2 linked regions of the Sus scrofa genome follow. The protein of the gene in region 2 purifies or fractionates together with the protein of the main gene of each other region. This does not show direct contact. Links are inferred from orthologs where the notes say so. Each region holds a gene or a part of one and is shown on either strand. Other genes may lie near its edges.

Region 1 (6,102 bases), on a different chromosome or scaffold from region 2:
AGGAACTCCCAACCCTATTTTTAAAAGCATTTAAAAGAATTCTCCACCAACAATGTAGCAATCAGCATAGCCCATTCTGCTGATACTTCATTAGAACTTATTTGTCTCAGTATTTATATTGGCATTTATATTTGGAACAATATGGAACTATAAAGAAAACTTAGTTGTGTCTAACATGCCAGATCTAGATAATCGTATTTACAATTTTGACAAAAATTATCCCCAAAGTAATATAAATATAGACACTTTTTAAAAGTCCAGATGTGAAATATCAAAACATTTTATGGGAGCTTCCTGGTGGCCTAGCGAATTAAGGATCCAGCGTTATCACTGCTGTGGCACGGGTTTACTCCCTGGCCAGGAACATCTATGTGCCATGGGCATGGCCAAAATAATAAATAATAATAATAATAATAATAATTTTTTAATTCAGTCTGGAATCGATACTGTCAAAAACAACCAAATACACAAAAAAAAAAAAAAAAAGAATACTATTTTCCTTTTTAAGTTCACTATTTTTTTCTGGAACAGGCTGCCAATTTAGTTTTTCTTTCCTTGATATTAGCATCTGGAATCATTTTAACATGGTTTATACCTTTAAGTTCTAAGTTTGTACTTATCCTGAATGTCTTACTATAATTAAAAATATAAACCCAGAAGCAACAGCCCTTCCTCACAGAAGTCCAATGAATAAATGTAGAAGGAATGAGAGAAAGAGAAAGCCACCACAGGAACACCACAGTAGTAACTGACACCAGCAAGGTCTGCCAGTGGATAGAAAAATGAGTGGGTAAGTTTAAGCACAAATAGGACATTTGCATAGCTCGAATTATTTCTGGCAAACACTCAGTCATTACAAAGGAAAACACAGCAAGTTTACAACCAAGAGGCCTAGGAGACACCACCTTAGGTGGTATTAAGGTAAACAACACCAATAGTTCATTACCACATCAGGGGTCATGACACAACGTCACACTTTGAAGCCATGACAGTGGAATGCAAGACAGGGTCCTAGACTGGATCCCCAGACAGTGAAGGACCTTAGTGAAAAGATTACGAAAATCTCTACTTTCAAAACTCTCTAGTTAATAGCATTGTATCAAGGCAACTTTCTTAACTTGGCAAACGTTCTACAATTATGTAAGATGTTAATATAAGGGGATGGTGACTGAAGGGTATAAACGAACTGTTTTTACAACAGTTCAGGAGAGTGTTGTTTTTACAACACTTCAGGAGAGTTAAAATTCTCAAAATTTAAAACATAACTGTTAAAAATTTAAAACATACATATATATGAATATATGTGTCTAACATGTTATTTAGACTTCAAGGAAAATAACGTTAAGACTCCAGGGAAACTGGTATCTGGGGCACTCAGTTAAAGAGCAGTTTTCTCTCCTGAATTAGTCACTGTCTCACTGGTTGCTAACTTAGTTTTAAGGTTCTTCCCCTTCCAAATATTTAGTTTCAAGTACTTTTAAATTTTCATAGAAAAGCTTACTTTTAAACATTCCTCTATTAGGCCAAAATTTAAAATCCTAGAATAAAACTGTCACCACGGAGTTCCCATCGTGGTGCAGCGGGAACAAATCTGACTAGGAACCATGAAGCTGCAGGTTCGATCTATGGCCTCGATCAGTGGATTAAGGATCTGGCGTTGCCATGAGCTGACACAGCTTGGATCTGGTGTGGCTGTGGCTCTGGCGTAGGCCGGCAGCAACAGCTCCGATTAGACCCCTAGCCTGGGAACTTCCATATGCCACAGGAGTGGCCCTAAAAGGACAAAAAAAAAAAAAAAAAAAAAAAAGACAAAAAAACTGTCACCAAATTATCTCATAAAATCACTTCTACCAACCACATGACCCGACCATTTCTTCTCATCATATAATATGATTGTATTGGTGTTGTTTATAAGGAGAGGGAAGGGCTAATAGATTTATTTTATTAATAGGCCTGGCAGTGAAGAAAAAAAAATTATCAGTTGGCTATCTTATTAAGAAATAACAGTTTTTGCAATAATAGATATTGTGTACTGGAACCCACTTCAGATGTAAAAAGCAACTTACCTAAGTCACTTCTATGTGGTAGCATAGGGCTACCAAAGCAAACCCAGCTAAGATCTTTCATTATCCCTTCCTTAAATCTGACTCTAATGTGACTGTTATTAGCGGTGGTAAACATCTTTTAAAAAAAAAAAAAAAAAACAGGCAATACTGTCTATGCAATTTATTCCAAGGGAATAAAGATAAACATCAGGTCTACCTTTCAAAAGCTGAACATAATTTCTCACTCTAGCTATGGCTGCTGATTCATTCCCTGAGCATGAATCCTCTTTTACCCACATTGTTTCTTACTATAAACTGAGCTGAAATCTGCCCATAGGGGTCCTGATGGTGAAGTTAATATTCTAGATGGAGAAGAGCATTCCCAAACGGTTGTATTTATTACTTTTGCAATTATTATTTCTACTTGCTGTGGCATTTAATTTTTCATTTGTATTTAGCATGTTGCTCCATATGGAAACAGCTATAGTAAAAAGATGGGGGGTGGGGTGGAGTTTAAAGTGGATCTTCATCCAAATACCATTAAAAAAGCAAAAAGTAAAATGGCCACATTTTCATTTCTATACCCATGCCATTTTAACCAAATTAACCTTCCAAAAATAACATGAAAAGCAGAAGTGGTAAAACTCTAACCTAATGATCTATACAAAAAAGGAGACACTCTACCTCAGGAACTCACTACACATTGCAATATACTCAAGTGGTGAAAAGATAAAAATTCAACCAGAACTGCCATACTCTCTGGCTGTCAATACAGTCTCCTGAGTAATTATATTAAACATATTACTACAAAATGTACCAAGAAGTAGAGAATAGTACTATATTTGTGAACTGCAAGTAACAAAACAAAACAGAGGTCCAAGAAAGCTAAAGTCCAAGCTGTAATTTACACGTAAAGTGTATGTTGAAAGCCGTCACGATGTACAAAAATGTGACAAGTAATCCAGACGTTTAAAAAAAAAACAGAGCTTGTTTGTCTCAGATAGTATCCAGTCTTATCTGGTAGGTTTCTGATAAGCCTGTTACATAAAGTGTATTTCCCTCCTGCTGATAAGAAGCAGCTTGCAGATACCCATACATTTCTTAAGGGGTGAGTCTACTTGACAATATTGATAATGCCATAGTTTCCTATTACATTCATTGGTCTGAAAATTGAAAACAACCCATAATCCAACTTTTCTTCCAAGTCCTTTACCAGTTTTTCAAGTTTTATAGCGAACGAAATTGGAATGTATTGCTTCTTGTCATCAACAGGCATTTCAAAACGAGGGTAATTAACCAAAATCAAGAGTTCTTTGGTCAAGTTAGTAACAGGCTTCCCCTTTGTTCTAAATCCCTTCATAATCCTTTTTTTTCCAATTTTTCCAGTATGGCCTGGATTTTACAAACAGCCTCTTTCCTGGCCTGCCGGACAGTGTCCTGGCCCCCAGTTTCAACTGAATCCAGTTCCAAAAGTTCCTTGGTTAGCATTTCCTCCAGAAGCCAGTATGCTTTGTCTGTCTTTTTTCCTACGAACTCTTCTACTTCTTGCTCAAGATATTGGACCTTCTCCAGCACATGTATGATTTTTTTAATACTTGGGGGAGTCCCTTCATCTGAAGATAAACACTCGTCAGGAAGATTATTACTCGGATCTTGATTGCTGGGATGTTCATTGCTGGCATGACCATACAGCTGAGGCTCGGCACTGTACTGGACTTGGGAATCCAAAAGCTCTGAATCATCACTGTTCATTGTTCCCGAGGACTCGTACTGATGGACACTGCAAGGAAAGCTGTGCCGGCTCATGCCTTGATCTGATTGGCTATAGGGGTATGAGGAATCCTTGGAGCAGAAGAGCAAAGAGGGGAAAAAAGCTGTTTTAATGGGAATCTATCATATTTGTTAGCCCACATCTTTTATCTGACCAGCTAGGTAGATGAAAAGATTACCCACCAATAAAACTCTTAAGCCCTCCTTAATCATTTTGAGAAAAACACAGCCCTAAAAAGACAAGAGGCAGATAATTCCTGAGCATAAAGGCTAGAATCTATCCTCAGGCAGGTCATCATCATGAAGACCTCATAATCTATCCTTACTACCTCACAATCCGTCCAGTGACTTAATAAATAGGAAATAGATAGTTTTTTCCCCTAAAGTGAGAAACCCTTAAGACAAATCTTGAAAAGGAACCTAGCCACAGGCAAACGCTGTCTGAGTCTATGGCTTAATGAAACCATGCAATTTCATACTGGTTTTGCCTTCTGTCTGGAGACTGAGGTAATAAAATCCAGTCTTTGATTTTGTTTAACAGATAGCATTACAACACATAGTAAAGGAATGTCTTTTAAAAATAGATGTGAACCTAATACTCCTCTAAAAAATAAAGTCTTGAATAAAATTTTTTTAAAAAAGGAAACTGGGCTACGTAAAGCTATAGGGTAGTAGCCACCAACTTTTTGAAATTAGTCCTCATTTAACACAGACCAATGCAGACAAATTCCACGTTGTGCTCCTTGTTACCCAAACATCAGAAGACCAATGTTCAGAAGGTCTCCTACCTTGGGCTGCGGGGGTGGTGGTGAAGGAGGTGGCTGAGGAGAGCCACTGCTAGGCCATGACGAAGCACTTTCGCTCACATAGAGACTCCCAGGTGGTGCTGAGGGCGAGGCTGCAGGCCATGGGTAGCGGGTTCCCACTCCATAAGTGCCAGGAGGGGCCCATGCGTCCTCCTGTGGTCGCACGGTGGGTCCTGGTTGTGGAACACTACGGTTACCATCCCCATAAGGGTAGTGGGGCACGCTCATTCCAGGGTTCTGGATTGAGAGGAAGGAAATAGGCTGGTCACTGCTAAAAAGCACTTTAAAGAAAATGTTCTAGTGTAAATAGATTCTGAGATGCTTCTTCTCTGCTTAACGGAGTACATTTTTGCTGTTACTGGGCTAACCTGTAGCATCTCTAACTAGGTGCAATAATTTCTCCAAGCCTAAAAAGGCCAGGTTCCAAAGCTACCAGGGGCAGATCTGCTGATGATCAAACTCAGAAGGAATAGGACCTAAATTCAAGGTCTGCCCACAGATACTATAAATAAATGGATCCATGTGCTATAAGGAAGCACAAATACATATTAGAACTCTCCTTGAAGTGAACAGAGAAAAACATGGGATCATTCACAGAATATTAAAAAAAATATAAACCTCACCTCTTGAGGTAAACAGAGAAATAAACTTGGTACCATTCATTCATACTAACAAATAAAACCACCACAGAAACATGCTCACCTGTGAAGCAGGATATCCTGAAACCTGCCCCCTAAGAGGGGGTGCTTCAGTCTGACAGTCCTGCTGGGGATACATCCAACGGGACACTGGGGTTGGGCTGTTGCCAGGTGAACGGTAAGTGCTTGGAACCTCTGTGGAGTAACTGGTCTGAGCATACCCGGGTGTGTAATAAGCCCCGGAGTAGGAGGCAGGGTTTGTGCCAGGGCCAGTGGGGTATGGTGGGCCATATGCTCCATTTGTATAAGAATTCAAATTCTGTAAAAAGGCAATGTTGGGAGGAAAAAAAAAAAAAAAAAAAAAAGACGAATGAGTAGAAGAGCTAAATGCCCTCACTCTGAAAACTTTGAGAAAGGAAATCAGTAACCAATGAAAACATGAACTACCGAATTGATCTTTGAGGCATTCTTTTGTATTATAATCATATACATACATAAGTTCAGATTATTACTGAAGAGTCTGTGTCATAACAATGGGAGAGTATATGGTGATGAATTATGAACCAATGGCCTTAGAGCAGTGCTTCTCGACCATTTCCACAAGTGCACCTAACAACCATATCTAATAGCAGAGGACTTGCCTCTACCAAATGGGCAGGGGGTTCTAGGAAACTTGGGAGAATGGCTGGAGATAGAAGACAATAACCATGATACAACAAAAGAAAAAAAGAACACAGAGACAGACCTAGCCTGACCACAGGCTTTGGGTTTACCTTCTCTCAACTTTAGTTTCTCCACCAGGAAAATGGAGATCATAAACCTATGTTGCAAGGTTACTGTGAA
Region 2 (6,102 bases):
TATCACCACATGTTAACAGTGCAGCTATTTTCAGTGAAGGTTATTTTAAATGTGTTTGTAGTTAATGTATTATTTATATGATTAATACCACCAGACCCACAACCGGATATTTATCAGTGTGTTTTGGAACTGTTTAGCCTTTGCTGTAAAAATGGCATGGATAGGCACATGCTAAAGTATATAATTTATTTGAAAATTCTTACATGTATCAATAGCAGCTACATTACACCACATTGTTCTTTCATCACGAAGTCATTAAGCCATAACCATATCTAATCTTTCAGCAGTTGTAAATATTCTGTGCAGACATTTTGAAGTCAGAGGTTTCTTATTGAATTTTGTTTTTCCTGCTCCCTATCTTCGCTTAGGGCTTACAAAGCCAGTCTTTCAGTTAACCCCCTCTGGGAGAAAGAGGAGGGCTCCTCTCCGCTTCCAGGCCTACTTTGTACATCAGGTTTCCGAAAACTTTAAAGACAGGAGTTCCCAGTATGGCTCAGTGGGTTAAGGACCCAATGTTGTCTCTGTGAGAATGCAAGTTCAATCCCTGGCCTCACTCAGTGGAGTAAGGATCTGGTGTTACCAGCATAGGTCACAGACGCGGCTTGGCTTGAATCCAGCTGTAGGCCAGCGGCTGCAAGCTCCAATTTGACCCCCAGCTGGGAACTTCCATATGCCAAAGGAAACGCCTAAAAAGAAAAAAAAAAATGAAAGTGGAATATGCTCACATGCGGGCACGTGCGTGTGCGCACACACAAGCGTGCATAGACCCTCTATAGACTTCTCCGTGGGCCTAAAAAGCCCCAGTGTGAGGTGTTCAAGCTTTAACTCGAATGACTGGTTTCATTTATTCAGTGAGTTTGTATTTCCTTCAAGATGGAAAGGAAGTTTCTTTGCATCGTGTAGTTTTGAAGATGCTCATAATTTGCTCGATGTGTTTTTTGCAGTGTCCATATATGGAATTTGGTTTTATGACAAGGAAGAATGCCAAAGAATTGCAGAGCTTATGAAAAAGTAAGTGCTGCAGGCTAAGTATTTGTCAGGACCTGGTGCTTTTGTTTGTATTTCTAAGTGTGTTAACCACACTGTCATCTTAGCAGCATACACTTCTTACAGCAGTCCTTTTCACAGTGGTTAGCAAAACAGTCACTATTGCTTAATAAATAAAAAATAAATAGGAGTTCCCATCGTGGCTCAGCCATTAACAAACCTCACTGGCATCCATGAGGACACAGGTTCGATCCCTGGACTCCCTCATTGGGTTAAGGCTCCGGCTTTGCTGTGACCTGTGGCTGGCAGCTAGGTCAGCAGACATGGCTAGGTCGAAGACGAGGCTCACTCAGATCCTGTGTTGCTGTGGCTGTGGCGTATGCTGGCAGCTACAGCTCCAGCTGGACCCCCTAGCCTGGGAACCTCCAGATGCCGAGGGTATGGCCCTAAAAAGAGAGAAAGACAATCAATAAATCAGTCAATCAATAAAAAGGATGACATTTTATATTTCCACTAAGTAAAGTTATAGAATGGTTCACCTCATTTTTTCCTGCACATGTGAAATATGTTATATGAATTTTTCCCAGATGGCAGTTTTTCCTTAATATTATCCTCATTTGTAAATTAGCAGTTTTTTCCTTTGAGGTGTCGTCAGTGAAGAGAGTGTCCAGAGCCGTTCTAAATGGCTGCCCTGTTTCCTGCAGCCCTGAGCCTCTCCTCTACCTGCTCCTGTGAGGCTCAGACTCTGCTAGTGCTGAGGAGAGTCTGTGTTTTCAATTTTTTGGAAATCCCTGAGCTAATACCAGTTTAGGGATCAGTAGACGTCTCTCTCTCGTGACTAGTCTCTTTTTCTGTTAATCACATGATGCCTTGTGATTAGTCCCAGCCTGCACTTGGGGAAACTTAAATTCCCATCTGCCTGTCCCACTGTCAGCCCCACCGATGACACTGAAAGGAGGCCCAGGGCAGCATGCTGTCTCCCGTGGGGTCTGTCAGCTCTGACCAGTTCTTGAGCCCCAGGGCAGCTTATAGGGAGGCAGGTCTTTCCCTGCATTCTCACAGACAGTTTAGTGCCTCGAAGGAAATGTGTTTCTTGCCTGTGTTGTATCTGTGCCAACTGGACTCGTCTGAACACAGAGTGGCTCCGTCTGCAAAAGAGCCATTTTTCAGTTTTAAATTCTGAATCAATGAAATAGCTAAAAAGTGACCCCAAAATATGGACTGTGGTGAGCACTTTTTTATAAATAAGATTGATTTCTGGAAAACCTAGCTTGTGATAGCTAATTTTAGGTAACTAGCTCAAGCTGCAGCTGGTGATTAAGTGTGTTCAAACCAATATTTACCACCATAACAACCGGTTCCTAGAACATTCATGGTATTGTAAACTGCAATGGGTAATAATAGCAGGATTTCATCTAGATTAAAAAATACCCTGTGGCTCAGCCCGGGCGGGGAAAAATTCTCAGCATCTGCAGGGATTACTCAACAGCTGGGGCAGGAAATTGATCGTTGAGCAATGAGCCTCCAGTTTGTGTGGATTCCAAGCCTATTCTTGTTAGCATTGAACCTCTCAGTAAATTCTCAGACCCCATCACTGTCACCTGTCACCATAGACTTCAGGGCAGTTTTAGTGGAGGTTCAGCTGCAGTTGGAGCTCAGAGGGAGGGTGAGTCCCTCTCGGTGTGCCTGTGCCCTGCAGGAGCAGTCCGCCTCCCCTCTGTGCTGTTTTCCCGAAAACGCAGACGCTCCTCTTTGCTGCTGCTTCAGTGCCCTTCTTCTGGGCGGAATCTTCACTGTGTTTCTAAACTGGCTGGGACATGGGATCAGAGGATCTGGGATCAGCCCTGCTTTGACTTCCAGGCACTTTGGACCGAGGCAAAAATTCGCTTTGCCACGCAGTTTGCTCGGTGTTTGACAGCCCTGAATTGGGTTTCCTCAGCAATACTGCATCCTTTCAAATGCCTCCATGAGGAGCTGGCAAACTTTTTCTGAAAAAGACCGGACAGTGACTGTTTTTGGCTTTGCAAGGCCACCAGGTTTCTGTCTCAGCCACTCAGCCCTTCCCTGACTATGTGGCACCTGCCTACAGACAATGCATAGACAGGTGTCCTTGTTAACTTGCCATAGAAAACAGGGGCTGGGCCCCACCCCCTCCAGATTCATCCATGTGGTCAGTGTACTCAAAACTCAACTCCCATTTTCCTTCTCTCACTTCCTAAGCAGGCTTATTTCTAACATGATTATAACAAGATAATAACTGGGTGAGAATTGGATGGTTTAAAAAAACAGTTGCACTGAATTGAATTGGCTTTTCTTATGTGGCTTTCCCCTGTGTTTTAACAGCCTAACTCAGTATGAACAGTTGAAAGCCCACCACGGAACTGGGGCAGGAGCAGCAGCCAGAGCAGGAGGCCCCACGATGACCCTCGGTTCAGGGGAGAGCAGGGAGGTGGACATCCTACGAATGCTCACCAAGGCCAGGGACGAGTACACAAAGGTGAGTCCATCTCCCCTGTGCACCAAGCCAGACAAAATTACACACCATAAAGTCTTTACTGGCGTTTAATAGGCTAAAGACTGGTTTTAATTGGCTTAAAAGGCAGCATGAGAAATCAGTAGCCTTCATGTATACAAATAATCTCCATTCAGAAGATGTGTTGGAAGACTTCACTGACGGTATCAACAAATTCATAGAAAATACTTCGGGGGAGTTCTCCAGTGGCACAGTGGGTTAAGGATCCAGTGTTGTCACTGCTGTGGCTCAGGTCACTGATGTGGCACCAGTTCGATCCCTGGCCCAGGAACTAATGCATGCCAACAAAAATGCTCTTGTTGGGGTTAGCAGATGCAAACTATTACATTTAGAATAGATAAGCAATGAAATCCTGCTGTGTAACACAGGGAACTATATCCAGTCACTTGTGATAGAACATAGTGGAAGATAGCATGAGAAAAAGAATGTATACGTGTGTGTGACTGGGTCACTTTGCTGTACAGCAGAAATTGACAGAACATTGTAAATCAACTCTACTTATTTATTTATTTATTTATTTATTAGGGCTGCACCTGTAGCATATGGAGTTTCCCAGGCTGGGGGTCGAGTTGGAGCTACAGCTGCTGGCCTACACCACAGCCACAGCAACGCTGGATCCTTAATCCACATGAGGATCAAACCTGCGTCCTCATGGCTGCTAGTCAGATTTGTTTCCGTTGAGCCACGATGGAAACTCCTATACTTTAATTAAAAAAAAAAATTGTAAATGCTCTGGGGTAAAATGAACAAGAAAGGAACACAGCCTGTATGAAATATTTACTGGCTCTCCTTGGAGGTACTAGGACACCAGAAGTAGGAAGGAGAATTAGCCTCTTCCTCTCACAGTTGCTGGTCAGTGGGAAAGAAGCAAGCATTTATCCTGCCTGGCCAGTGGCACTACCTAACCGGTTGATGAGGGAAAGGCCTTCTGCCCAAGACCTCCAGCTCTTACATGTGGATGGAACGATAGAACTTAAACTCCCAGTGAAGTAATTGACACGGACGAAGATGATCAATAATGTTAGTGCCCTGAGAAGGGTTAATGGAAACTTGACCACCTGCTGAACGTGCCGAGCTGCCCACCACCATGTAACGTCAGGTACTCAGCACCTCTTCAGGATGTGCTAGGCAAAGGAGCTGCTACTGAGTCTGTCTGTAGCACTGACTCAAGGGGATCAGGCAGGTAGGAAGCAGTCAGGACAGCTGACCAGGCTTCTGCAACCTGCCTCGGACGTGATGGTTAGAGGTGCGCTCCTGGGGGACAGGAGCTTCCCATGTCACCTCTGTGCCCCGGTCACCCTCAGAGACTGGCACATGGCCAGCAGCAACCCAAGGCTGTTGAATGAACATGAACAAACCACCTCCTCCTGTCACAGGGCCCCGATGTGGATGCCTTCTCCCCAGCTTCCATCAGGAACAACGAGCTCTGGATCCATGTTTTAGTTTGTTTAATTCTTCAGCAGCCATTAAAAGATATTCCATGGAGTTCCTGTTGTGGCACATCAGGTTAAGATCCAGTGTTGTCTCTGACAGCGCTGGTTCAATCCCTGGCCTGGCCCAGTGGGTTAAGGATCTGGCATCGCTGCAGCTGGGGCATAGGTCGCAGCTGCAACTCAAGTCAGATTCAGTCCCTAGCCTGAGGACTTCCATATGCTGTGGGTGCGGCCATTAAAAAAGAAAGAAAGAAAGAAAGAAAGAAAGAAAGAAAGAAAGAAAGAAAGAAAGAAAGAAAGAAAGAAAGAAAGAAAGGAAGGAAGGAAGGAAGAAAAGAAAAAAAAGAAAAAAGATATCCCAGTGACTTAATTATACTTTAGTAGTTGTGCCGTTAGATATTAATCTTTGTTTCCAGCCACACCTGCAGCATATAGAAGTTGCCAGGCCAGGGGTTGAATCAGAGCTGCAGCTGCCAGCCTACACCATAGCCACAGACATGTGGAATCCAAGCCACATTTGCAGCCTACACCACAGCTTGTGGCAATACCGGATCTTTAACCCAGTCAGCAAGGTCAAGGATCGAATCCGCATCCTCATGGATACTATGTCAGGTTCTTAACCTGTTGAGCCACAACTGGAACTCCTTAAAGTTTTTCCTTTTTTATTTTTGTCTTTTTTGTCTTTTTAGGGCCACACTTGGGGCATATGGAGGTTCCCAGACAAGGAGTCGAATCAGAGCTATAGCTGCCGGCCTATACTACAGCCACAGCAACTCAAGATCCGAGCCTCATCTGTAACCAACACCACAGCTCAGGGCAATGCCGGATCCTTAACCCACTGAGTGAGGCCAGGGATCGAACCTGCAACCTCACAGTTCCTAGCCAGATTCGTTTCTGCTGTGCCACAACGGGAACTCCATCTTGTTTTGTTTTGTTTTGTTTTTGTTGTTGTTGTTGTTTTGAAATTAATCTTAAAGGTGACATTTTCACCCTCTGGGAACTTAAATTCTGTGAAGACAGCATAAAAATGGCCAATAGAGGAAAAATGCAAACACTGAACAAAAATTAATTTCTTTCTTCTCCCTCTCTCCTCTAAACGCACACACACACACAAACACACTTACTGTATTGTTTATACTTTATGACATT

What was found.
Region 1: the proteins of DCP1B (region 2) and BAG4 purify together in Homo sapiens (affinity purification with mass spectrometry; 3 studies listed by BioGRID and IntAct, counting the BioPlex papers as one, with this or other methods). This does not show direct contact. The link is inferred for Sus scrofa from reciprocal best matches to the Homo sapiens genes DCP1B and BAG4.

What each region holds. Positions count from the first base shown.
Region 1 is NC_010457.5:48,302,869-48,308,970, forward strand, and holds part of BAG4 (BAG family molecular chaperone regulator 4), read right to left. Parts: intron 5,579-6,102; coding exon 5,324-5,578; intron 4,859-5,323; coding exon 4,604-4,858; intron 3,888-4,603; coding exon 3,402-3,887; 3' UTR 1-3,401. UniProt on the Homo sapiens protein: Inhibits the chaperone activity of HSP70/HSC70 by promoting substrate release. Prevents constitutive TNFRSF1A signaling. Negative regulator of PRKN translocation to damaged mitochondria.
Region 2 is NC_010447.5:68,933,521-68,939,622, reverse strand, and holds part of DCP1B (mRNA-decapping enzyme 1B), read left to right. Parts: intron 1-944; coding exon 945-1,011; intron 1,012-3,330; coding exon 3,331-3,484; intron 3,485-6,102. UniProt on the Homo sapiens protein: May play a role in the degradation of mRNAs, both in normal mRNA turnover and in nonsense-mediated mRNA decay. May remove the 7-methyl guanine cap structure from mRNA molecules, yielding a 5'-phosphorylated mRNA fragment and 7m-GDP.